Linked DNA regions of Ovis aries. The protein of the gene in region 6 purifies or fractionates together with the protein of the main gene of each other region. This does not show direct contact. Links are inferred from orthologs where the notes say so. Each region holds a gene or a part of one and is shown on either strand. Other genes may lie near its edges. The genes, in order: NOP58, C1QBP, TGS1, RRP9, DCAF13 and FBL.

Region 1 (3,438 bases), on a different chromosome or scaffold from region 6:
TAAAGATTTTCTAAGATTCTGTGGCTCTTTCAGTGAAGTGAAGACTTACGATCCTTCTGGTGACTCTACACTACCAACCTATTCTAAAAAACGCAAGATTGAAGAAGTAGACAAAGAGGATGAAGTTACTGAAAAGAAGGCCAAAAAGGCCAAGGTTAAAATTAAGGGTTAGTTTGAATTTTGTTAATGTCATTTATATTCCTGTTGGATAAGAAGTATGGAGTTCTGTATGACTCAGGGAACTCAAACTGGGGCTCTGTAACAACCTAGAGGGGCAGGAGGTGGGAGGAGGTATATGTACACTTAATGGCTAATTCATGTTGATGTGTGGCAGAAATCAAACCAGTATTGTAAAGCAATTATCCTTCAATTAAAAATATATTAAGAAAAATGGGGAAAGTGCATACAATAGAACTTTATTATGAAACCACCATATTGAAAGCTAATTCTATTAATAACCATCTTCTCTAGGGAGTTAGAATATTGTTAAATTTATCATATTTCATAAGAGAAAGGGGAAAAGCATCTCTTTGAATATATAGGGTTATATTAAGTGTATCAAAACTTTAATTTCTAACGTGAACTATTTTGAGAATCAGCTTAAAAGAGAAGAAAACAAGGTATGTGGTTTCTAAGTTAGTAGCTGAAATATTTTGGTTGAGCATAGAAGTGATGCAGCAGTGCTTCATTATTTCTGTTACATGAAAAGAACTAGAGTAATGACCCGGTAGCTACCATCAGAGTGATCGTTAACAGGTGCTCCCCAGTGAACTAGGCTCTCTTAAGTTGATAAGTAAATTCCTCCATTTGTTAGCTGTACTTGTGTTGAGTGATTAGCATTAAAGAAATTACCATTTAACTTTGTTTCTAAATAGCTTAGAGGTCAAAAAGCACTATCAGCAAATGTGGATTCTGCCCTGGGTGAAGAAAACATAAGCAAGTTATTTAACCCCTGTGTTTCATTTTCCCTGTTGAACAAAAAGAACTGTAAACCCATTAGTAGATTTGAATCTTGACTTGTAATATTCATTAAGCTTTTCAAACTTAACCTTCCTGGATCTTTGCCACTCCCAGTCCATTTCTACATGATATTCTCCATCTTATAAATGGGAATCCTAGTTGCTTTGGCCTTTAACATTGACTTGTCTTATCATTCTGGTAGCACATCCTCTTAATTCTACGTGGAAAGTATTTCTAGCACCTAACCATTTATCATACCAATCACTGCCGTTCTTAGTGTAGCAGCTGCAAGGGCACTCCCATTGCCTTCTCATCTAATTCTATTCCATTGGTCACTGCTCCAGCCGCATTAGCCGCCTTGCTACTCCATGAACCTGCCAACTTCCCTTCTTTCCTGAAATAATCTTAGTATTTGCTCTTCTCTTGATGTGAGATATTTTCCCTCAATATAGATGAATTGTTCACTTCCTTTTCTTTTTTAGGTGTTTGCCTAACTACCCTGTATAAAATGTCCACAGGAATTGCCTTCATTTGTGCTCCTTTCTTTGTTTGCTTTTATCCTTTGGACTGTTTACTATGTAAAATATTTTATGGTGTACTTTTTTTCTGGTTTTTGGTCTGTTTCCTAGTAAAATAAAGGGTTTGTAAGGGCAAGAATTTTTATCTGTGCTATTCCTTGCTGTATCTCCAGTTGTCTAGAACAAGCCCTAGCATATAGTAGGTACTAAATAAGTGTTTGGTCAATGAATTTCTAATGATAGCTACCCATTATTGAGTCCTTATTTTAGTGTGCTAAGCATTTATGCTAACCATTTTGCATAAATTTTCATGTGTTAAATCAGCAAACCCTAAAAATAGTCAAAAGAGATAGACGTTACTAAATTTTAAAAGAATGAAGAGGTTGGGTTTACAGAGGTATTAAATTGCTTACTATCATTTATTGTTAGTACTATTATACTAGGTAAATATTTGAAGGACCTTTACAGCTATTAAATTACATGTAACAAACATTGGAGAGTTGACCAGAATGTTGGGAAAAAAGACTCAAAGGGGGTTGAAGGGAGAGAAGCCTGATACAATGTTAATTGTAGTATTTTTACACTTGTTCAGTTGAAGAAGAAGTAGTAGAAGATGCAGAAGACACAGAAGAAGAAGTAGTACAAGTTGTAGAAGAACAGGAAACATCTGTGAAGAAGAAGAAGAAAAAGGACAAAAAGAAACACGTTAAGGAAGAACCACTTTCTGAAGAAGAGCCATGCACCAGCACAGCAGTTGCTGTATGTTTGTTTTTAATTATTAATATTTTGTTGACATGGGCAGAGATTCCATATTTTATTCTACTCTGTATGTTAGAAATTAACAGGTAGTTTTTTAAAAACCATTTTTTAAAATGGTTTCATTTAAGAGAAACAATTAGAAAACTCACTGTTTGGAACTCCCATGTTACAAAAAGCCGCTTCCCAAACCTAGAATCTTACTACAAAATGGGTTTGGTCTGAAATGGAAGAGAGTATCATTTGCTACAAGTCACAAAGGTGATCTTTAGATTTTAGTCTTTCTTCCAATCTTGTTTTCAAGAGAAATAAAATAGACTGCTTTTTATAAAGAAAAGTTATTTTTAGTCACTTGTACATTTCCAGCTCTTTCAAAAGCATTCTTGTTGATTATTTTCAGAGTCCAGAGAAAAAGAAGAAAAAGAAAAAAAAGAAAGTTAATGAGGACTAATGGAAGGAACCATTCTTTCAAAGAGTTCATAATTGAATCACCTGGATACATCATGCTTACGATTCAGTCAGAAATGTACGCAAGATACTCTGTAAAATAATTGATGGGAGGTTTGGTGAGAAAGAAAGATTAATCATTAATAGCATTTCATACCTATTTGTGTCTTGACATACTTTAACTATGTTAATTTTATTATGTCATCATTTCTTAGGATATTTGTTATACAAATAAAAATATTTTCTTTGTATTTTAAGGCAGTTCTGTGATTTCTCTACTTTAGGTCGAGAATTTGGGGCTCCTTATGTTATGTAGCATTGATAATTAGTATTTTGATAATTATACCTGAAAAGTGAGAGCTGTGAACCATTAATTTGAAATTTAGCCTTTCGGAAGACAATAATTAGATGGACCAGTTTAAGAATCCCACTTAATGTGTTTCTCTTGCCTTTTTGGACTGTCTTCTGTTTTTCTCCTACCTTTCTGTTTTTGTTATTTAAGTAAAGCTGTCTATTGTGTTCGAAGCTTTAAAATTAGGTGAACAAACTTTGTTTCTGTCTCTTTAGGAAGAAAAAAACTGTCCCTAACTTAATTTGCATTTCTAGAATGTGGAAGAAAATCATTATTAATCTAGACCCTGATTTGTTTTTAAAGTAATCTAAAGTGGTGTTTTAAAAAGATAATACAAAATAAGTGAAGAATGGGGGTGTATAAAGGAAAAACAAGAGGAGAAAAAATAAAATGTCAGTAGGAGTG
Region 2 (4,264 bases), on a different chromosome or scaffold from region 6:
TCTTTTCCAATGAAAAGAACTCTGCATCAAGTGGCCAGAGTATTGGAGTTTCAGCTTCAGCATCAGTCCTTCCAATGAATATTCAGGACTGATTTCCTTTAGGATGGACTGGTTTGATCTTGCAGTCCAAAGGACTCTCAAGAGTCTTCTCCAACACCACAGTTTAAAAGCATCAATTCTTCGGCACTCACCTTTCTTTATAGTCCAACTCTCACATCCATACATGACTACTGGAAAAACCATAGCTTTGACTAGATGGACCTTTGTAGGCAAAGCAATGTCTCTGTTTTTTAACATGCTATCTAGATTGGTCATAGTTTTTCTTCCAAGAAGCAAACGTCTTTTAATTTCATGGCTGCAGTCACCATCTGCAGTGATTTTGGAGCCCAAGAAGATAAAGTCTCACTGTTTCCATTGTTTCCCCATCTATTTGCCATGAAGTGATGGGACCAGATGCCATGATCTTTGTTTTCTGAATGTTGAGTTTTAAGGCAAATTTTTCACTCTCCTTTCCACTTTCATCAAGAGGCTCTTTAGTTCTTCACCTTCTGCCATAAGGGTGGTGTCATCTGCATATCTGAGGTTATTGATATTTCTCCTGGCAATCTTGATTCCAGCTTGTGCTTCATCCAGCCCGCATTTCGCACGATGTACTCTGCATAGAAGTTAAATAAGCAGGGTGACAATATACAGCCTTGACTTACTCCTTTCCCAATTTGGAACAAGTCTGTTGTTCCATGTCCAGGTCTAACTGTTGCTTCTTGACCTGCATACAGATTTCTCAGAGACAGGTAAGGTGGTCTGGTATTCCCATCTCTCAGAATTTTCCACAGTTTGTTGTGATCCACATAGTCAAAGGCTTTGGTGTAGTCAATAAAGCAAAAGTAGATGTTTTTCTGGAACTCTCTTGCTTTTTCCATGATCCAGCGGATGTTGGCAATTTGATCTCTGGTTCCTCTGCCTTTTCTAAATCCAGCTTGAACATCTGGAAGTTCATAGTTCACATACTGTTGAAGCCTGGCTTGGAGAATTTTGAGCATTCCTTTGCTAGCGTGTGAGGTGAGTGCAGTTGTGCAGTAGTTTGAACATTCTTTGGGACTGGAATGAAAACAGCTTTTCCAGTCCGGTGGCCACTGCTGAGTTTTCCAAATTTGCTAGCATATTGAGTGCAGCACTTTCATAGCATCATCTTTCAGGATTTGAAATTCCATCCCCTCCACTAGCTTTGTTCGTAGTGATGCTTCCTAAGGCCCACTTGATTTCCCATTTCAGGATTCCTAAACTTCTTTAGTTCCTGAAGATTCCTGTTGCTGCAGAACTAAAGTTTAGGAATCAGATTCCAAGCCTCCCTGGGAGGCTACACCGGAGGCCACCAGCAGAGGGCAGGGTCCTGCCCACTGTGCCTTCTGGTCTGCAAGGCGGCGGCGCGGAAGCACTTCCCGGCTGTGGGGCGGGACTTCCGGCGGCGGTCCCAGATCTAGGGGGCGCAGCGGCAAGGAGTTGTCCTTCTAAGCGAGAGTTGTATTTCGAATCTGCACGTGTTCGCCACCGCCTCCGCTGCCAAAATGTTCCAGCTGCTGCGCTGCGTGCCCCGCGTCCTGGGTTCTGCCGTCGCTGGTCTCCGCGCCGCCGCACCCTCCCTGCCGCTTCTGCAGCCCGCGTCCCGGCCATGCGCCCGGCCCTTCGGGCTGCTGAGCGTGCGCGCGGGGTCGGTTCAGCTGCCCGGCCTCCTGAAGCCTCGGGGGCCCTGCGCTTGCGGCTGCGGCTGTAGCGGACTGCACACCGAAGGTGAGACTCATGCACGTGGGCCGGGGGCGTGAGGGGCGTGGGCCTAGGTGGGGCGGGGTGTTAGGGGCTGGGAGGTGTAGACCACCTGAATGGACAGTCCGGAGCCGCTCCTGAGGTCCGGAACATTCTCCCAGTGATGGTCGACCTGCTAGTTAAACCCACGCGTAGTAACATTTCCCGTCCTCCCCCACCCCTGTTTGACTGCGGGGATAGATACTGTAAAGTCCTGGAGGCCGGCTTTACCTCAGTCTCTCGAAAATGGAACTTTGCGAAAGCCCAAGGTCGCGGTTAGAAGTAGCGTGATGTTTCTTGGCAAGTGAAAGGGTAGTGGCGATTTTTTTTTTTTTTTTTTTTGCTTTATTTTGAAACGTCGTGAGAAGTTCATTATTCGGGATCACTTTCCTAGAATCCATGCTCAGCTTCCCACTGATAGCTTACATTTTTACAGATGAAGGAATTGAGGTTTAATGGATATGAGTTGGGCTAAGTCCACAGAGCCACCATTAATAGAAGTATTAGGAAAAAACAGGCTAAGTCCTGGTCTTTGCTTGTAGTAACGGGGTCATTTTCCATTTTAGACTAATTGGCTCTTTCTGTAACTTATTTCCATTGTAGGAGACAAAGCTTTCGTTGACTTCCTCAGCGATGAGATCAAGGAGGAAAAGAAGATACAGAAATATAAGTCTCTCCCCAAAATGTCAGGAGGTTGGGAATTGGAAGTGAATGGGACGGAAGCCAAATTAGTGCGGAAAGTTGCTGGAGAAAAGTAAGTACCAGGGGCCTATGGAGCCCAGGGGACCACATCCATAAACCTGCAGGACCTGCTGTGAGGTATCCACAACAACTTTTAGTTAAGACAGGTGCTTAACTGACTCCTGGTTTCCCAGAGATGGTATGATTCGTTTGGATAACTTCTTAGGCTCCTTTTTGCTTATTCACTGCACAGTAATGTGCTGTGGTGGTTAACAAGGAGACAGTAAGCTAGTAGCGGGGTTCCCCAGTGGCTTGGCGTCCAGAACCCACCTGCCAAAGGAGGAGGTGTGAGTCTGAAATGGCAACCCACTCCAGTATTCTTGACTGGAAAATCCAATGGACAGAGGAGCCTGGCAGGGAGTCCATGGGGTTGCAGAGTCAGACACGACTGAGTGCCTGAACATCACCCCAGTAGCACTGAAGCCAAGCCACTGGGAGTCTTCTGGACCAGTAGAGGCAGCAGTCACTGAGCCCTTCCTGGTGAGTGAGGCTGTGCCTTGCCCACAACTAGGCATGCAAATTCAGAGATTCCGGCACTGCCCACAGAATCGGATTTACTCTGCTGGGTCTACTACCCTCAGGCTCTGGCTGAGGAAAATAAAGCCCCTGTTCTGTTTACAGTTGAGAAAGCAAGATAATTAACAGGGTGGGGTTGCAGTATAGTTTTTCATTAGAAAAGAGGGATGCTTTTGGCCTGCTTAAGCTGTTTTAAATCCACGGTCCACTTTGAAGTTTTGCATGCGCTGTGAAGCAGCAGGCTGGTGCTTTTGCCTAGTATTGTAGTGCTTTCCCCGTCATAGATCAATTGTGTGGTCTGTAACGTGACCCAAACCACTCTCCTAGGCGAAGTTATAGGCAGTTTGGGACCATTATAATGTGCTGCTGAACATAGCTGCATTTCTCTGTCCAGGGGTCAGTTTGGTCCACACTGTCACAGCTTAGACAGATTTTGTGCCTGTACATCAAACTTCTGTCTGTCAAGGTGCCAGTTACCATGGCTTCAGAGGGCAGCGTTGTCTGCAACCTAGCAGTGCTCGTTCCAAGTGTCACTCAATTTTCAGTTCAAATTTTGGAATATGATATGTCAGGTGAAGATTCTTGCAAGTTAAAATTGTCATTAGGTGGTGTTTGTGGCCTGCCTTGTCATTTATTAAACTTCCTACATCTGCTCTGAAGAATAAAACTGTCCAGCAGCATATTCTTTTTTTTTTTTTGCCACACTGCTTGTGGGAATCTTAGTTCCCTGACCGGGGATCAAACCCAGGCCATGGCAGTGAACACACCAAGTCCTAACCCCTGGCCCACCAGAGAACTCCTCTATGTGGTGTCCTTTGTGAGGCCTCCCCTTCCTGGGGCCAGGGCTACTCTCCATCCTCAGCTGATGCCACAACCCTCCGGTGCTCCTTCTCTTCCTCTCAGGCAGATTTTCTTCTAATGGAGGAAGATTTTTAAAGGAGGCTCCTGGGACTTAGTGGTGGTCCAGTGGTTAAACCTCTCCTCTCCCAGTGCAGGGGACCTGGGTTCAATCCCCGATCAGGGAACTAAAATACCACACATAGCAACAAAGGTCACATGCACCTCGCAACCAAGACCCAGCCCAGCCAAGTACATTTTATTTTCTTAAAGGAGGCTTTTGGAACTTTGTGGTGGTCAAAGTGTCTGCTCCCAGCGCAGAGGACCTGGGTTCAATCCCTGGTCAGGGAACTAAGATCTCGCATGTAGC
Region 3 (3,500 bases), on a different chromosome or scaffold from region 6:
CGCGGGCAGAGTCAGCCAGTCCTTGGAGAGTGGCACCGTTGTGGACGCCTTCTGCGGAGTTGGAGGGAATACCATTCAGTTTGCTCTAACAGGGAAGAGAGGTAATTGGTCATCAGTGGTTTACTCATTAATTAATTTCAGTTTATTCATCAGATGCTTCATTTTCCTTCAGCCCTATCTTTACTGAGATATAATCATTGATAATTTAATGCCAAATATTTAACAATAATAGCATATATTAAGACTACACTTTGTGTACTGTTGTGTTTAATATGTATCACTGTATTTAGTCAACAGTCTTGTGATATGTATCTTTTATACTTTCTGTGTTTAACAAATAAACTGAGAAATAAAACATGCAATGATTTGCCCACGATCATACAGACCCAGCTCAGCAACAGCAAGATTATAACATGATATAAAAGTAAAACTGTTAAAATGGGAGAGACTGTTCTCTGGAAGAAGAGAAGCGTAGATGGTGCAGTGGGGTCCAGCTTTGCCCTCACCCACTGTATGATTTTGGACTTCCTTTAATCTTAATGGAAAGGAGACATTAAATTGAGAGAACCCTGTGATACCTTTCAGCTTTGACATCCTAAGACACTAAGACCCTTTTAAATATTAGACTGTCTTCATGGTTGGTTGACTTCAGAATCCCAGAAAAGAAGACCTGTTACTATATATCTGCCAGCAACTGTGTCAAGTAGATAATACGTGTGCTGTTTCCCGGGATGGGTTGGGGGGAGGCTTTACGAGACTGGACAAGGTAGCCAGTGGCCGCCATTCCTGGACATTGCAGTTCCCCGCAGTATCCTCCAGCACCTATCAGCACTTCATTCACCTGCCAGATTGAGTTGTTCACACTCTGTTAGGCCTGAAAACAAAAATGTCTTCCAGGAGAGCACAGATGAAAACAGGGCCATTAGCCAAATACAGTTGGTGTTGAAAGTCACTTTTTTCTGTTGAATTTTTGCTGTTGACAGTGTATTTCTGCATCTGTCTCTGTGCTATCAATTTCAGCAGATTAAGCAGCTAAAAAGGACCTTGTCCCTTTTATAAATATGAATGTTATCAGAAGAATAGTGTTGTGGATGCATGATTTTGCAACATAGGGTTGGTGCCTGTATTCATTGCTCCAGTGATTTACTTAGTGCATTATTTCCCTAAAGTATTAACAAACCTTGAAACCAACATTTTCTGTAATACAGCTGCTTCCTTGTCAACCATGGTGTATGCATCAGGATTGCACTCTGCCCTTGCAGACGTAAAATATTGCCACTAACATCCTGTTGCACACACAGGTGCACATGAGTAATTTACTCTAAGACGTGAGTGAGTTGGAATTAACTTACATTTGTGTTGCTAATTGTGAAATTGAAGTAAATTAAGTGAGAGCCCCTGCAGTAAAAACATGACCTCTGTTCCCTCTGCCTAAAACGTCTCATTAAACATCATCAGCAGGTGTTTTTGCATGTCTTCTTCATAAGTTGGCTACATAGGTTTGTCAAAAAGTGTTTTATTTGCCTTACTGTAGACATTGTCAAATCTGTCTACTTTTGGACATTGCCTCATCTTGAGGAAACTGGTCTTATCTAAAGTCTTAGCATTTCTAAACTGTCTGTGCAGCCATCACCTTCCTGTGTCTACCGTCCAGCTCTGACCACAGACCAGGCTTGGGATAATGGGTAACCACCTCTCTGCTTGCGTTGGCCCAGCGGCCTAAGTGAGACAGCTCTGCAGGCCACATCCTTGGTCTCATTTTCTTGATATAGCACAAGTGAATCTTCCTAGGTTAGGTGAAATTTTTAAATTAAATTCTCTCATTAATGTGGCCAAATCTCCCTTTAAAAACTCTTTTTAAAAGGGACTTAAACGCACAGAAAATAAAGACTGCTCAGAAGATGGACTCGTCCATATAACTGACAATCAGTATCATTGAACTCCTCTTTCTTGTTCCTATTTTTAGTGATTGCCATTGATATTGATCCTGTTAAGATCGATCTTGCTCGCAATAATGCAGAAATTTATGGCGTAGTGGACAAGATCGAGTTCATCTGTGGAGATTTCCTGCAATTGGCATCTAGTCTAAAGGCTGACATCGTGTTTCTCAGCCCACCTTGGGGAGGACCGGACTACGCCACTGCTGAGATCTTCGACATCAGCACCATGATGTCTCCTGACGGATATCCTTTGAAAGTCCTAGAGTTCACTCAAATGGTGGTTGTGGAGAGGAAACGTGTGTGTGTGTGTGTGTGTGTGTGAAATTAGTGAACAGGAGAGATGTTAGCTAATAGCATTTGAAAGATTCCAGTTTGTTTTCCATAAAAATTAACTGGTGATTGATCTCCAAAAATTACAGCAAATATGAGGTTATATTTCCATTGGTTACTCTCCAGTTGTCCCATTAGAAAACAAGAACTAAAGGGCATTAATTGTTTGGAATTACTGTCTGGAAATCAGGGATTTCCTCAGGACCTGTCCCTGGACTCTGGGTGATTGTCCCCTGACTTCAGCTCACACTGACCTAAGTTGTCTGCGTCTCCAAGTTCTGCCTGTTATTCCTCCAGGTTACTGGAGCAAACCCCTTATTTCAGGAAGACTAGCATGTGTTATTTTTCCTTTTATCTCAGTTCCCCAGAGGAGTCATTTATGGCTCTTAACAGGAATTGTTTTAAATCACTAATTAAAATTTAGAAAAAATAGGGTGGACAGAGTTACTTGTCTTTATTCTTTACTAGAAAGATGTGGTTATTGTGCTTTCCCATTCATCCTGTTTTCACAAAAACTAGGAAATAGCAGAAAGAAAGAGTGTGTATTTCTAGCTCTTGGTTTCCTACCCTAGGATAATCCAATACATAGATTAAACTTCTAATCCCTGACCTGTTGGAGACAGTTCAGTCAGTTCAGTCACTCAGTCGTGTCTGACCCTTTGTGACCCCATGGACTGCAGCACGCCAGGCATCCCTATCCATCACCAACTGCCAGAGTTTACTCAAACTCGTCTCCATTGAGTTGGTGATGCCATCCAACCATCTCATCCTCTGTTGTCCCCTTTTCCTCCTGCCTTTAATCTTTCCCAGCATCAGGGTCTTTTCCAACGAGTCAGCTCTTCACATCAGGTTATCAAAGTATTGGAGTTTCAGCTTCATTGTCAGTCCTTCCAATGACTATTCAGGACTGATTTCCTTTAGGATGGACTGGTTGGATCTCTTTGCAGTCCAAGGGACTCTCGAGTCTTCTCCAACACCACTGTTCAAAAGCATCAATTCTTCGGCTCTCAACTTTCTTTACAGTCCAACTCTCACATCTATATATGACTACTGGGAAAACCATAGCTTTGACAAGACAGACCTTTGCTCTCTTTTAGGTCCCGTTAGAAGTACTGTTGGGCTTCTCAGGTGGCTCAGTGGTAAAGAATCTGTCTGTAATGCAGAAGACCCCAGTTCAATCCCTGGGTCTGGGAGAACCCCTGGAGAAGGGAATAGCAACCCACTCCAGTT
Region 4 (4,175 bases), on a different chromosome or scaffold from region 6:
CTCGACTCTTTGCAACCTCACGGACTGTAGCCCACCAGGCTCCTCTGTTCACAGCATTCTCCGTGAATACTGAGAGTGGGCTGCCATTCCCTTCTCCAGGGGAGCTTTCTGACCCAGGGATAGAACCTGGGTCTCCTGCATTACAGGCTGATTCTTTACTTCCTGAGCCAGGCATGGGAGACAGGAAACAGAAGATCCAACATGGAAAGTGGAAAAGATAGATCTAAAAACAACCACCACCCCCAGACACAAGGGAGCCGCCAACCCAGATCTGACATGAGGAACCAAGAGGCAGCCGTATTGGGACTGTCACCACCCCATCCTCACTGCCGAAGCCCCATCCTCTACCCTGAGGATGGGATTCCAGGTGAAGCTTAACTGGGTCTGGCTGGACCTTGTGAAGATCTTGATTTCCCCTCCACACCTCTCACTGAAGATGAGTCCTACGCTGACTTGCTCCTGGGAGCTGGAGGTAGGTCATGGGAACTCAGAAGCAGAAAGCCCAGGGCCGCCTGTTCCCTCTGATCACGTGCCTGCAGATACCTAGTCCCTGTCAGGTACCCCAACTGTTTCCAAGACTCATCCATGACCTTACCCACAGCTTCCCCGGAAGGGACATTGGAAATTCTCAAGGAAGCCAAGGCCTCATGCTCTTCAGACCAGTTAGTACCCAGCACCAAGCAAATCTTCAGCTGACAGACTTGCTGCCCTTCCCTCATATAACCAAGGACTACACTTCTACTCAGTTTACTCAAACGAATAAATTTTTGTTTAGTGCTCACACATAGGAGACAGAACTCTAAAGAAAATCAAGAGAAGCATACACCATTATAATTCCATCCATATAACATTCTGGAAAAGGCAAAATTCTAGGGATAGCAGTTACCAGGGGAGAGAGAGAGAGGAACTGACTACACAGGAGCCAGGGGGAATTTTGGAGGGTGGTAAAACCCTTCTGTATCTTCATAGTGGTGGCAGTTTATATGAGTCTGTTACAACTCACAGAAAGGTACACTAAGAAACAAATATCACTGTATGTAAATTACACCTGAATCAGAAAAGGAAAAAAAAAAAGAGATAAAAAGGAAGGAAGGAAACCAAAGAAAATTATTAACTCAGGAATGGCAGCTGGGTCTTCCATGTTTCTGTACAGGTCTAGTTCTGGTGGGTGCACAGAGGTCCATCATTTCATCATTACTGTCTATGGCACAATTACATTTCATTAACTCTTCTGTAGCTAATACATTCCACAACACATTTGAAAAATATTTAAAAAGTGTTTCACACAGGGCCTGGCACACACCCGCAGTAACCTCAGGACTACAAAAAGAACATAAAGTCCTTCTGCAAGCAGGTTAAGACCAACACGTACTCAATATTTAGAGGCAGAATTTCTAAAGCCAACTTTAAAAAAATAACAATTTGACATTTGTATTTATTTATTTGTTGGCTCTGCTAGGTCTTTGTTGCTGTGCCCGGGCTTTTTCTACTTGTGGCAAGCGGGCACTATTCTCTAGCTGTGGTGCATGGTTGCCCTGTGGCATGTGTAATCTTCCCAGACCAGGGATTGAACCCATATTGGCAGGTGGATTCTTAGCCACTGGACCGCCAGAAAAGTCCTCTAAAGCCAACTGTGAAGGAAGGCACCAGGATTTCCTGGTGTGACAGCTTCCATTCCACAAGGTCAGGCTTGACACCTTGCTAGCCCCCTCTGAACTCCGCAGTATGTCCCACCCCCATCACCTGCGGAATGAAGGAGGTACACAAAGCCCTTCACAATCTGGATGCACGCACCACCTGCCCTTCCACCCTCTCCATCTTCCATCTGGCCCGTTTAACCCCTAGACTTTTCTCTGATCCCTGAATGCCTTCCCTACCTCTCCATAAGGAAGCGCTCCTGATCTCTCCAAGCCCTATTTAAACTCCCGTTCTCTGTTCCCACAACACACAGCTCTAAGATACGCCTCCCATCACAACACACTCTGTCTTCACCTGCCTGCTTGTCTCTGTTCTCAAAACAATGAAACTAGTGCCTGACACTCTCCGTAACTGAAATTGTGAAGAACTAACGAGCATTTCTTGCATCCTCCCCTTGCCTGGAGTTCAGCTCCCTGTCACGAGCCAGGAAGGGTCAGCAGGCCTCCCATTGGGACTGGGGGTCCTCCCCACACAGAGACCCTGCAGAGAAGGAAATGACAGTTCTCAGGGTCAGAAAGTGGAGGAAAGAGTTAAGACCTGAGATCCTGGGTTCTGGCCCAGTTCTAGCACCCCTTCAACTGAGGATTCCTTCCATACACCACGGGTTCCAGGGTTCCTTTCCACTAGGTGGAAAAAAAGAGCTCACCTCTCACTCTCTGAGTCGCTCGAGATCTCCTCATTCATCTTTCCGCCACCCTTGGACTTGACCTTGTCCCCAGAGGAGTCGCCCTGGGAATTACATAATACGTTTTTGGTCAGGGGTCCCGACCACTCGGGCTCTGACCAACAGTCCCTTAGGGTCCCTCGAGAGCCACTGGGAAAGGCAGTGGCCCCTGGCTCAAGTGAAAGGCTTTTCAGGATTTGACGCACGGAGAAAGGGACGAAGCTGACTCCAACCCGGGTCCCGGGGGCGAGACCCCCGGATGGGATTAGGGTGGTCCCAATAGGAGGGATAGATCCCCGCCTGCCAAAGCGCCATGCTTACCTTTCGTCGCCGCTTGCCGGCCCCCGCACCAGCCCCGGCCCCTGAGGCCGGCTTTCCCCTCTTACGAGCCGCCCCTGTCGCCAACATGCTGTCCATGGTGCGTGTTGCCGCAGCACTGGAGAACTCACGTGGCGGCTAAACCCTGGCAGTCCCACCAGACTCCCCGCTGTGATAGGCTCCCACCGCCCTATAGGTCCCGCCTCCCACAGCTCTATTGGGTCCTTGGATAGGTTCTGCCTCGCCCCCAAGCTCCCATAGGGTAAATGCCTGTGGCCCCGCCTCCCAAAGCTCCTATAGGCTCCCGCGCCCTGGCTCAGACGGTAAAGGAAGCAAGCCTCTTCCCGGCGCTTCCGGCCAATGACTGTGGCGCATGCGCCCCGCCGCTGACTGACGTCGGAAGAGGGGTCGGACTCCGACGCCTTCTCTGTGTTTGCGCCCCTTGGACGCTGGGGGGCGTCAGAGATGCAGGGTTCCTTTCCCTGGACCGTGACTCCTCCCCGTCAGGGGCGGGGACCAGGGTGAGAGTCTGACTCCCTAGTAACCCGGGGAGAGGGAGCCAGGCAGTCCCTGGGAGAGGAAGGCAATGCCTGCACCTGCGGCCAAGGTCACTTGACAAACCGGTGGACACGTATTGCATGCCTCAGGCGAGATGTGCACCGCTAAGGGTGCGTCAGTCCCCTGGGCCTTAGCTGTGTCCAGATCAAGTGTCCACCCATCCATGGGACAGGCTGCCCCGGCTCGACCTGCCCAGCCTCTGACTCATCAGGCTGGTGACCAAATAACGGGAAACCTATCCACACCCAGTTCATCCCGGCTCCCCTAAGGCTTACAGAGGGTTGTTAGAACTGACTGCCTGGGAGGTAGACCCGGTGGCCACCACGTCTCCCAGGTCCGTGCTTCTCTTAGGTGAGTGCCCTATGGCCCTGCCCACAGCCCTCCACAGGGCAAGGCAGGGCAGGGTGGGTGTGACTGGCTTTTACCCTCTGGCAGTTCAGTGTCACTGGTCTAGAACCTGGACTGGCATCCCAGAAGTCTTGAGTCTGATGGGAAGAGTTTCTGTGCTACTGGCTCTCAAGCTCTGGAGAGATAGAGCTGGCCTCAGGAGTGCTGCCCCCGGGAGCCGCTGCCCTCTCTCCTCCATAGCTGGGGTGACTCAGCCCAGCAACCATGCCAGGTCCAAGTCAGCTGAGAGAGGGGAGGAACAGAGAGTGCTCTGTGAGGAGGAGCCCAGAAGTGGGAGGGGGGAGATTTTCCTTTCACTTTCCCTTCCACCTCAGTACACACAGGAGAGCTAGGGAGGGTGGAGAGCCCCTCTTCCTTAACCAAACTGGGAAAGTTGTTCAGAGGCCGGGCCTGGCCCCAGTGACTAGAGAAAGGGGCCTGTCCGGGGTGCAGAGATCTGGGCCTGATGAGCTATGGAATGAGGTTCGTGACATCGTACAGAGCACAGAGATCAAGACCGTCCCCATGGAAAAGAAATGCAAAAAAGCCA
Region 5 (4,211 bases), on a different chromosome or scaffold from region 6:
TTCCAAGTACAGGTTTCCTGGCGATGCTAAAGTAAAGCATGAAAGCTTTAATATAGGCCAAAAGTGCATAACGTGAAGAAGCAATTACCTTAACACGCACTTTGCTAAAGGATGCACGAAATAAATCCAGATAAAGCACAGATGCTCACAGAAACAGTTCAAAGCTATGACTGATTGACGCTGAGATGTTGAATGTAGTTTCCGGGAAAGGAGCTGGTGGTGCACGCTGCCTCTCAAAGGCTTGGTGCAAAACAAACGCTGAACTTTCTATTCTCGATTTTCGCCTTCTTTTTGTAATGGCGAAAATCCTCTTCGATTCTTTGCGATTTGGGGGTGAGCGGAAAAAGGCTTACTAATGAAAGCCTTTCCTAAAAGCCAGGTGGTGTGAACAGAACTTTCGAAAAGCTGGGGGTTGGGGTGGGGGGTGGCGGGTACTTGTATCTCCAAGGGAGAACAATTTGCACGTGTGAGGTTTAAGCCCTGAAATGTGATCAACCCTTTCTTATTTTATAAAGCAGGCTTTTGAGTTCCACGTTCTATACCAATGAGGACCTTTCTCAGACTTTGACATCCATTCTGCTCATTCCTCAGTATCGGGGAAAAGGGGACGCCGGCAGCCAGACCACTTAAACCAGACTCCCTTTCCTCAAATCTGGTCCCACGGGAGCCCGGGCAAAAAGCATTCTTCTTAAGCTCTCGCCTCGCCTGCAGTACGCAAGAGGCAGGTGAGGACGAAGCCGTCCCTCTGCGTCTTTATCACTCGGTTCGGGGTGACAGCAAGGAGAAGCCCAGGGTCTGACTGGTCTCTTACCGGCGAAGCGGATCTTCACGAGGTCAAGCGGGTGCAGCGCGAGGTTGGAAAGGACCCCGCCGGTCACGCCCGCCACCAGATTCTCGTAGTGGACGTGGCGGAATATTGTGCTGCTCCACGCCGACCAGCCGGACGCCGACTGGCCCTGGCCTGTCATGGGCTCAGGGTCCGCTGATACCGCGGGCGTGGGACGAGATGCAGTGGCCGCCACCGTGGCGACGGTCGCCGCGCTGGAGCAGAAACCGCAGGGCACGAGCCCACTTCCGGCACCCGCGCGTGGAGTCACACTCGCGGAGGCGAGGGTGAAGCCGAGAGACCTAGGCGCACGAGTGACTGACTAGAGCGGCGCGGCCGCAACTCAAGCGGCCGAGGGAGAGTGGGCAGCGGGGCGGGGCGCCTCCGCCAAGGCCCCGCCCCGCCTCGCCCACCTCCGCGGCTGGGTTTAGGCTGAACTGCGTGGATCTGCGAACACAGATGAAGCACCGCCCCCGGCCAACCTTTGTCCGCGCGAGTACGGAGCGCCGCAGAGCCCACCTGAAGCCGGTTTCCGCTCCGCGGAAGTCACATGACAGGAAGTAGTCGGGAAAAAGCGGAAGTGGCATGTGTTGGTGGAGACGGCGTCTGCGGCGGCGGTAACTGGGGCTGGGAGGGAGAGGGTCGTGAGATCCCGGTGAACTGGCAGCAAGATGAAGGTGAAGATGCTGAGTCGGAACCCCGACCACTATGTCCGCGAAACCAAATTGGACTTACACCGAGGTGAGACAAGTTAGTTGGGAGTCCGCCAGCCTTGGATCCAGCCTCGGCTCCACCGAGTAAAGCTGGTTGGGGAGGGGAGACGTGTTTCACTCTCGTTGTTTACCTGTTTTCTTTCGCTAGGGCTCTTGGTTTATAAAGCGCTTCTGGTTCTGGGTAGCAGAACACTTGTCTTCAAATCCCTTTCCTCATAACTTTTGTCTAGTGGTCAGTGACAGTTAGTTATATGGGGAAATGATTCCGTCTACACCGCTTTCAGCTGCTGCTCTCTGATTGTTCTCAGGGTCCCGTTGAGGGGAACGTGGACTTGAATGAGCCAAACTCGTGGATTGTGAAGGAATTAACAATTAAACAAACTTCTTTAAACCTCTCCTTGTTACTCTAACTTTCGACAACTTTGCTAAAGTTACGTATTTCGGGATGTGGGAACAGACAAAGGTGACACTTAACGCCGTCAGTTTTCTCTTAAAAACTCTTGTGGGGAATTTTAGTGGGGGAATGACTAAAATGAAATTAATGGGTTTTGTCTGTACTGGTCTGTTCCCTCATTAACCTGCTGACTACTTAATGAATTATAGCTAAGTGACCAACCATGTGTGAAGTGAGTAACAGGTGCAAAGGCCTTAAGGCAGGAATAAACTTATGGCATAAGAAAAGGGCCATGTCTTCGCAGTTTGAGGTAGGGGTGAGCCATAGAAGGGGAGGCTGGAACAATATTTCCATATGATTGAGTCATACAGCTTATCCGTATATATCGTGAGCAATGCTAACTAAATGGTCTCTGCTCACAAGATGTTTACAGGTTAAGTATCAAAACAGCAGTGTTCTTAAAATGCAAAGTAGATTATGTGACTCAGACTTGACATCATCCCTACTCCTTAAACTTGGTCCCATCTTCCTCTCTCCTTTCATGGGTGACTACTTTTTCTACAGCTAGTGTATATGTACTCTCGTTAGTCTGTGTGCCTTTCAGGCATTCTCTTTCAGGCATGCGATGGCACACACCTCTATCCAGTTTCTGTCCCCTGCAGATTTCCCCCCATCCTGTACGCATGTAGGCACCCTCCTATGCTTCTGTTTCATATTTTTATATTAATATTAGAGTGCTTATTACATTGTCTCATTATTTTTGTGACTATCAGTCTTTTTCTTTAATCAGATCGAGCTTGCAGAGAGTGGCCCAGTTGTGTTTGTTTCTATGTCCCCTGTGTTTAGAGAGCACCTGGCACCTAGTAGTTGCGTTATTAATGTCTGAATGAAGGAATGGGTAACTGGTTGGTCATAGATTTTTTTTGTTTAAGTGGTCTTTGTAAATTTTGTGCAGTATTCAAATACTTATTTGAGTATTCTGACTCATAGATCCGGGATGTGGGCATCAGGGAATCTGTATTTTTAAAACTCTGTTGGTAACATAGCTGATAACATACAAATGTATAAGAACAACATACATAAATATGTACGGTGAGTTTGTTTGCTCTGATGTCCTGAGTGCTTATGGTATATGGGAGGTGTTCCGTATATCTTTGTTGAGTGTTTCTTGTTGACTGAATTGAATTTAGAGGTGGGCATAATTATGGGTATTTGGAAAAATTTATAGAAGATACAAGATTTAAGCTGAATTTTTTTTAAAGGATGTGTAGGGTTCAGATGGGCTTCCCATCTGAACCTGGGAAAGAATCTGCCCGCAGTGTGGGAGACCCATGTTCAGTTCCTCCAGGAAGGTCCCCTGGAGAAGGGAATGGCAACCCACTCCAGCATTCTTGCCTGGAGAATTCCATGAGCAGAGGAGCCTGACAGGCTGCAGTCCATGGGGTCGCAAAGAGTTGGACCCAACTGAGCGACTAACATGCACACACAAAATCAAACATTGAAAGTGCTCAATAAATAGTATAATCATCATATCACAACATTGTACAGTGATCAGCACTGGAGATTATTAGTGTTCCCTGCCCAGTAAGGGGGCTTCCCAGATGGCGTTAGTGATGAAGAACCCATCTGCCAGTGCAGGAGATGCAGGATATATGGGTTCGATCCCTGAATCAGGAGGATCCCCTGCCTAGGGATTCCCATGGACAGAGGAGCCTGGTGGGCTATGTTCAATGGGTTGCACAGAGTCAGACACGACTTAAGCAACTTAGCATGCATACACACACCCAGTAAGGAGCTTAAGAGGTCAGTTGAGCAAACGTTTATGATGCACTTGTTTTGTGCTGGGTATAAGAGATGTAATGAAGAATGTAGCAGAAGCCCTGCAGATGAAGGCTTATAACCCAGTTGAAGAGCGTAGTAGGACATAGAAAAGGAAAAGTTGTGTGTGTGTGTATGTATAGAGTCTAGTTATTTTGCAAGATGTATGTGTTCTATCACTTTCTGGTCATTTTGGAAAGGTTCTGGACAAAAGGTCTTCAGTGTTTTTAGTTTTAGTCCTCAGCATAGTCAGTGTCCCTAATAAAGGCTTATTGAATAATATATTGAATGATTAGCCAAGGAATACCACAGGAGGTATTAAATGTGAATTATTTTATTAAGAGGAATCATTCTTATTTCAGTTCCAAGAAACTATGATCCTACCTTACATCCTTTTGAGGTCCCACGAGAATATATAAGAGCTTTAAATGCTACCAAACTGGAACGGGTATTTGCAAAA
Region 6 (3,500 bases):
CAAAGTATTGGAGTTTCAGCCTCAGCATCAGTCCTTCCAATGAACACTCAGGACTGATCTCCTTTATAATGGACTGGTTGGATGTCCTTGCAGTCCAAGGGACTCTCAAGAGTCTTTTCCAACGCCACAGTTCAAAACCATCAATTCTTCAGCACTCAGCTTTCTTCACAGTCCAACTCTCACATCCATACATGACCACAGGAAAAACCACCCCTGACTAGATGAACCTTTGTTGGCAAAGTAATGTCTCTGCTTTTTAATATGCTGTCTAGGTTGGTCATAACTTTCCTTCCAAGGAGTGAGCATCTTTTAATTTCATGGCTGCAATCACCATCTGCAGTGATTTTGAAGCCCCAAAATACAAAGTCTGACACTGTTTCCACTGTTTCCCCATCTATTTGCCATGAAGTGATGGGACCAGATGCCATGATCTTCGTTTTCTGAATGTTGAGCTTTAAGGCAACTTTTTCACTCTCCTCTTCACTTTCATCAAGAGAATCTTTAGTTCCTCTTCACTTTCTGCCATAAGGGTGGTGTCATCTGCATATCTGCTGCTGCTGCTAAGTTGCTTCAGTCGTGTTCGACTCTGTGCAACCCCAGAGACAGCAGCCCACCAGGCTCCACCGTCCCTGGGATTCTCCAGGCAAGAACGCTGGAGTGGGTTGCCATTTCCCCCTCCAATGCATGAAAGTGAAAAGTGAAAGTGAAGTCGCTCAGTCGGGTCTGACTCTCTGCGACCCCATGGACTGCAGCCTACCAGGCTCCTCTGTCCATAGGATTTTCCAGGCAAGAGTACCGGAGGGAGGTGCCATTGCCTTCTCCCTGCATATCTGAGGTGATTGATATTTCTCCCGGCAATCTTGATTCCAGCTTGTGCTTCTTCCAGCCTAGAGTTTCTCATGATGTACTCTGCATAGAAGTTAAATAAGCAGGGTGACAATATACAGCCTTGACGTACTCCTTTTCCTATTTGGAACCAGTCTGTTGTTCCATGTCCAGTTCTAACTGTTGCTTCCTGACCTGCATATAGGTTTCTCAAGAGGCAGGTCAGGTGGTCTGTATTCCCATCTCTCTCAGAATTTTCCAGTTTATTGTGATCCACACAAAGGCTTTGGCACAGTCAATAAAGCAGAAGTAAATGTTTTTCTGGAACTCTCTTGCTTTTTCGATGATCCAGCGGATGTTGGCAATTTGATCTCTGGTTCCTCTGCCTTTTCTAAAACCAGCTTGAACATCTGGAAGTTCACAGTTCACGTATTGCAGAAGCCTGGCTTGGAGAATTTTGAGCATTACTTTACTAGTGTGTGAGATGAGTGCAATTGTGCGGTAGTTTGAGCATTCTTTGACATTGCCTTTCTTTGGGACTGGATGAAATCTGACCTTTTCCAGTCCTGAGGCCTCTGCTGAGTTTTCCAAATTTGCTGACATATTGAGTGCAGCACTTTGGCAGCATCATCTTTCAGGATTTGAAATAGCTCAACTGGACCTCCATCACCTCCACTAGCTTTGTCCGTAGTGATGCTTTCTAAGGCCCACTTGACTTCACATTCCAGGATGTCTGGCTCTAGGTGAGTGATCACACCGTGGTGATTATCTGGGTCATTAAGATCTTTCTTGTATAGTTATTCTTGCCACCTCTTCTTCATATCTTCTGCTTCTGTTAGGTCCATACCATTTCTGTCCTTTATTGAGCCCATCTTTGCATGAAATGTTCCATTGGGGATCTCAATTTTCTTGAAGCCACATGCAGCTCTTCAAATCCCCAAATCAAAACATTACCATTTAATGACCGGTTATCATGATGTGTGTGTGCATGTTAAGTCACTTCAGTCCTGTCTGATTCTTTGTGACCCCACTGACTGTAGCCTGCCAGGCTCCTCTGTCCATGGGATTCTCTAGGCAAGAATACTGGAGTGGGTTGCCATGCCCTTCTGGAGGATCTTTCCAACCCAGGGATTGAACCCAAGTCTCCTGTATCTCCTGCATTGGCAGGTGGGTTCTTTACAACTAGAGGCACCTGGGAAGCCCTTGTTATCATTTTACAGGTGAATATACTAGGTCCAAGGGTTATTCCATCCTACTTTGTCTGATCTGAGAGCCCAGGCCCCCAGTTTAGGCTTAAAATGAGGAAGCTAGGGCATAGAGATGAGATGACGTAACAGCTAAGAATACCTGCACCTGGCCAGACACTGCTCTAGGCATGTTACAGGATTTAATTCACTTATCATCACAATCACCCATTTTCTAGAGGGTTACACTGAGGTTCAGAGGGAGTAAGTACTTGCTCAAAGCCACTTCACTGTTAAGAGCCCGCACCAGAGTCTGGGGTTTTTAACCATTAAATTACACACCCTCTAGCCTCACAGCCAAGTGAGGGATCATGAAGTGAGATGTGTGGGTGCCCTCTCAACAGGGAGGCTGTCCAGCTGCACAGAAGCATAGGCCCCCAAACTGACAATCTCCTGTTTAGGGAAACCAGAAGCCCAGATTTGAGGGCTATCTTTTTTTTGGCTGCACCACATGGCATGTAGGATCTTAGTTCCATAACCAGGGATGGAACCACACCCTCTGCAGTGGAAGCGTGCAGTCTTAACCACTGGACCGCCAGCAAAGTCCCAGAGGGGAGCAATCAAATCCAGTGTATTCTCAGCTCTGGGCCCCCCAACACTGGTTGCCCCGACACCCAAGCCCCTTCGTTCTAGGCCAAGAACTCAGGTGTGAGGCTGAATGGAGCTCTGGAGACCATGTGGTTCAAGCCGCTGCTTCACGCACAGGCACTGTGATCAGGAAGGCCCTGGCTCCGAGCCCCTCGGTGCAGGGAAGCAGCCAGGGCCTCTGAATCCAGGCTGGCAGAGAAGGGGACCTTTCCCTCCCTCCCACCTCCTCCTGTCCCTCTGTCTACTCACCGGGCCAACGATATCAGAGACGTGGGAGACGGTGGTGCCCGAGGCAGCCCCGAGGTAGAGGACCTTGGCCCCTGGCTTGATGTGGATCTGGTCCACCCCGCCCAGGATTGCCGCTGCCAGCTTGGAACGGAAGGGGTTCCAGGCACGGTACTCAATTTTGTCATCTCCCTCCTGCACCGAGAGAGATGGGGATGGAAGTCAGTGCCAGGCTCTTCTGCAAGACCCCAAGGCTCTTAACTCTAGGGCCCTCAAAAGGGACTGGGCCCCCAGTCATTGTACAAGAAACAAATGAGTATATCCATCTATGACCACAACAGGCAGGGCCTGTGCTCTCGTGGGGGTTCCTGACTCAGGGAGAAGGGGCAGCGATGGGGACAATAAAGACAAGATCACCCCAGACAACAGTAAGGCAAGACCTCTGTGTTCGTTCTACGAACACTGCCTGTGCCGGCCCCTAAGCTCAGGCACTGGGCAAACACACCGAAGGGGACAAAGGCCTTGCTCTCCAGGAGTGAGGACATGCTGAATGGACACACACGGCATAGGAGCCAGTGACAGGTGCTCAGAAGAAGGTCAAGCCAGGAAGGGGCGTGT

What was found.
Region 1: the proteins of FBL (region 6) and NOP58 purify together in Homo sapiens (affinity purification with mass spectrometry; 7 studies listed by BioGRID and IntAct, counting the BioPlex papers as one, with this or other methods). This does not show direct contact. The link is inferred for Ovis aries from reciprocal best matches to the Homo sapiens genes FBL and NOP58.
Region 2: the proteins of FBL (region 6) and C1QBP purify together in Homo sapiens (affinity purification with mass spectrometry; 4 studies listed by BioGRID and IntAct, counting the BioPlex papers as one, with this or other methods). This does not show direct contact. The link is inferred for Ovis aries from reciprocal best matches to the Homo sapiens genes FBL and C1QBP.
Region 3: the proteins of FBL (region 6) and TGS1 purify together in Homo sapiens (affinity purification with mass spectrometry; 3 studies listed by BioGRID and IntAct, counting the BioPlex papers as one, with this or other methods). This does not show direct contact. The link is inferred for Ovis aries from reciprocal best matches to the Homo sapiens genes FBL and TGS1.
Region 4: the proteins of FBL (region 6) and RRP9 purify together in Homo sapiens (affinity purification with mass spectrometry; 3 studies listed by BioGRID and IntAct, counting the BioPlex papers as one, with this or other methods). This does not show direct contact. The link is inferred for Ovis aries from reciprocal best matches to the Homo sapiens genes FBL and RRP9.
Region 5: the proteins of FBL (region 6) and DCAF13 purify together in Homo sapiens (affinity purification with western blotting; 3 studies listed by BioGRID, with this or other methods). This does not show direct contact. The link is inferred for Ovis aries from reciprocal best matches to the Homo sapiens genes FBL and DCAF13.

Annotation. Positions count from the first base shown.
Region 1 is NC_056055.1:204,595,089-204,598,526, forward strand, and holds the end of NOP58 (nucleolar protein 58), read left to right. Parts: intron 1-33; coding exon 34-167; intron 168-2,070; coding exon 2,071-2,237; intron 2,238-2,634; coding exon 2,635-2,685; 3' UTR 2,686-2,938; downstream 2,939-3,438. UniProt on the Homo sapiens protein: Required for the biogenesis of box C/D snoRNAs such as U3, U8 and U14 snoRNAs. Part of the small subunit (SSU) processome, first precursor of the small eukaryotic ribosomal subunit.
Region 2 is NC_056064.1:25,997,931-26,002,194, forward strand, and holds the start of C1QBP (complement component 1 Q subcomponent-binding protein, mitochondrial), read left to right. Parts: upstream 1-1,464; 5' UTR 1,465-1,565; coding exon 1,566-1,788; intron 1,789-2,403; coding exon 2,404-2,554; intron 2,555-4,264.
Region 3 is NC_056062.1:36,074,217-36,077,716, forward strand, and holds part of TGS1 (trimethylguanosine synthase), read left to right. Parts: coding exon 1-101; intron 102-1,966; coding exon 1,967-2,183; intron 2,184-3,500. UniProt on the Homo sapiens protein: Catalyzes the 2 serial methylation steps for the conversion of the 7-monomethylguanosine (m(7)G) caps of snRNAs and snoRNAs to a 2,2,7-trimethylguanosine (m(2,2,7)G) cap structure.
Region 4 is NC_056072.1:49,062,282-49,066,456, reverse strand, and holds the start of RRP9 (U3 small nucleolar RNA-interacting protein 2), read right to left. Parts: upstream 2,801-4,175; 5' UTR 2,780-2,800; coding exon 2,684-2,779; intron 2,428-2,683; coding exon 2,345-2,427; intron 1-2,344. UniProt on the Homo sapiens protein: Component of a nucleolar small nuclear ribonucleoprotein particle (snoRNP) thought to participate in the processing and modification of pre-ribosomal RNA (pre-rRNA).
Region 5 is NC_056062.1:73,986,257-73,990,467, reverse strand, and holds the start of DCAF13 (DDB1- and CUL4-associated factor 13), read left to right. Parts: upstream 1-1,411; 5' UTR 1,412-1,497; coding exon 1,498-1,567; intron 1,568-4,113; coding exon 4,114-4,211. Other genes in the region: SLC25A32 (mitochondrial folate transporter/carrier), read right to left, coding at 812-968. UniProt on the Homo sapiens protein: Part of the small subunit (SSU) processome, first precursor of the small eukaryotic ribosomal subunit.
Region 6 is NC_056067.1:48,796,475-48,799,974, forward strand, and holds part of FBL (rRNA 2'-O-methyltransferase fibrillarin), read right to left. Parts: intron 3,078-3,500; coding exon 2,907-3,077; intron 1-2,906.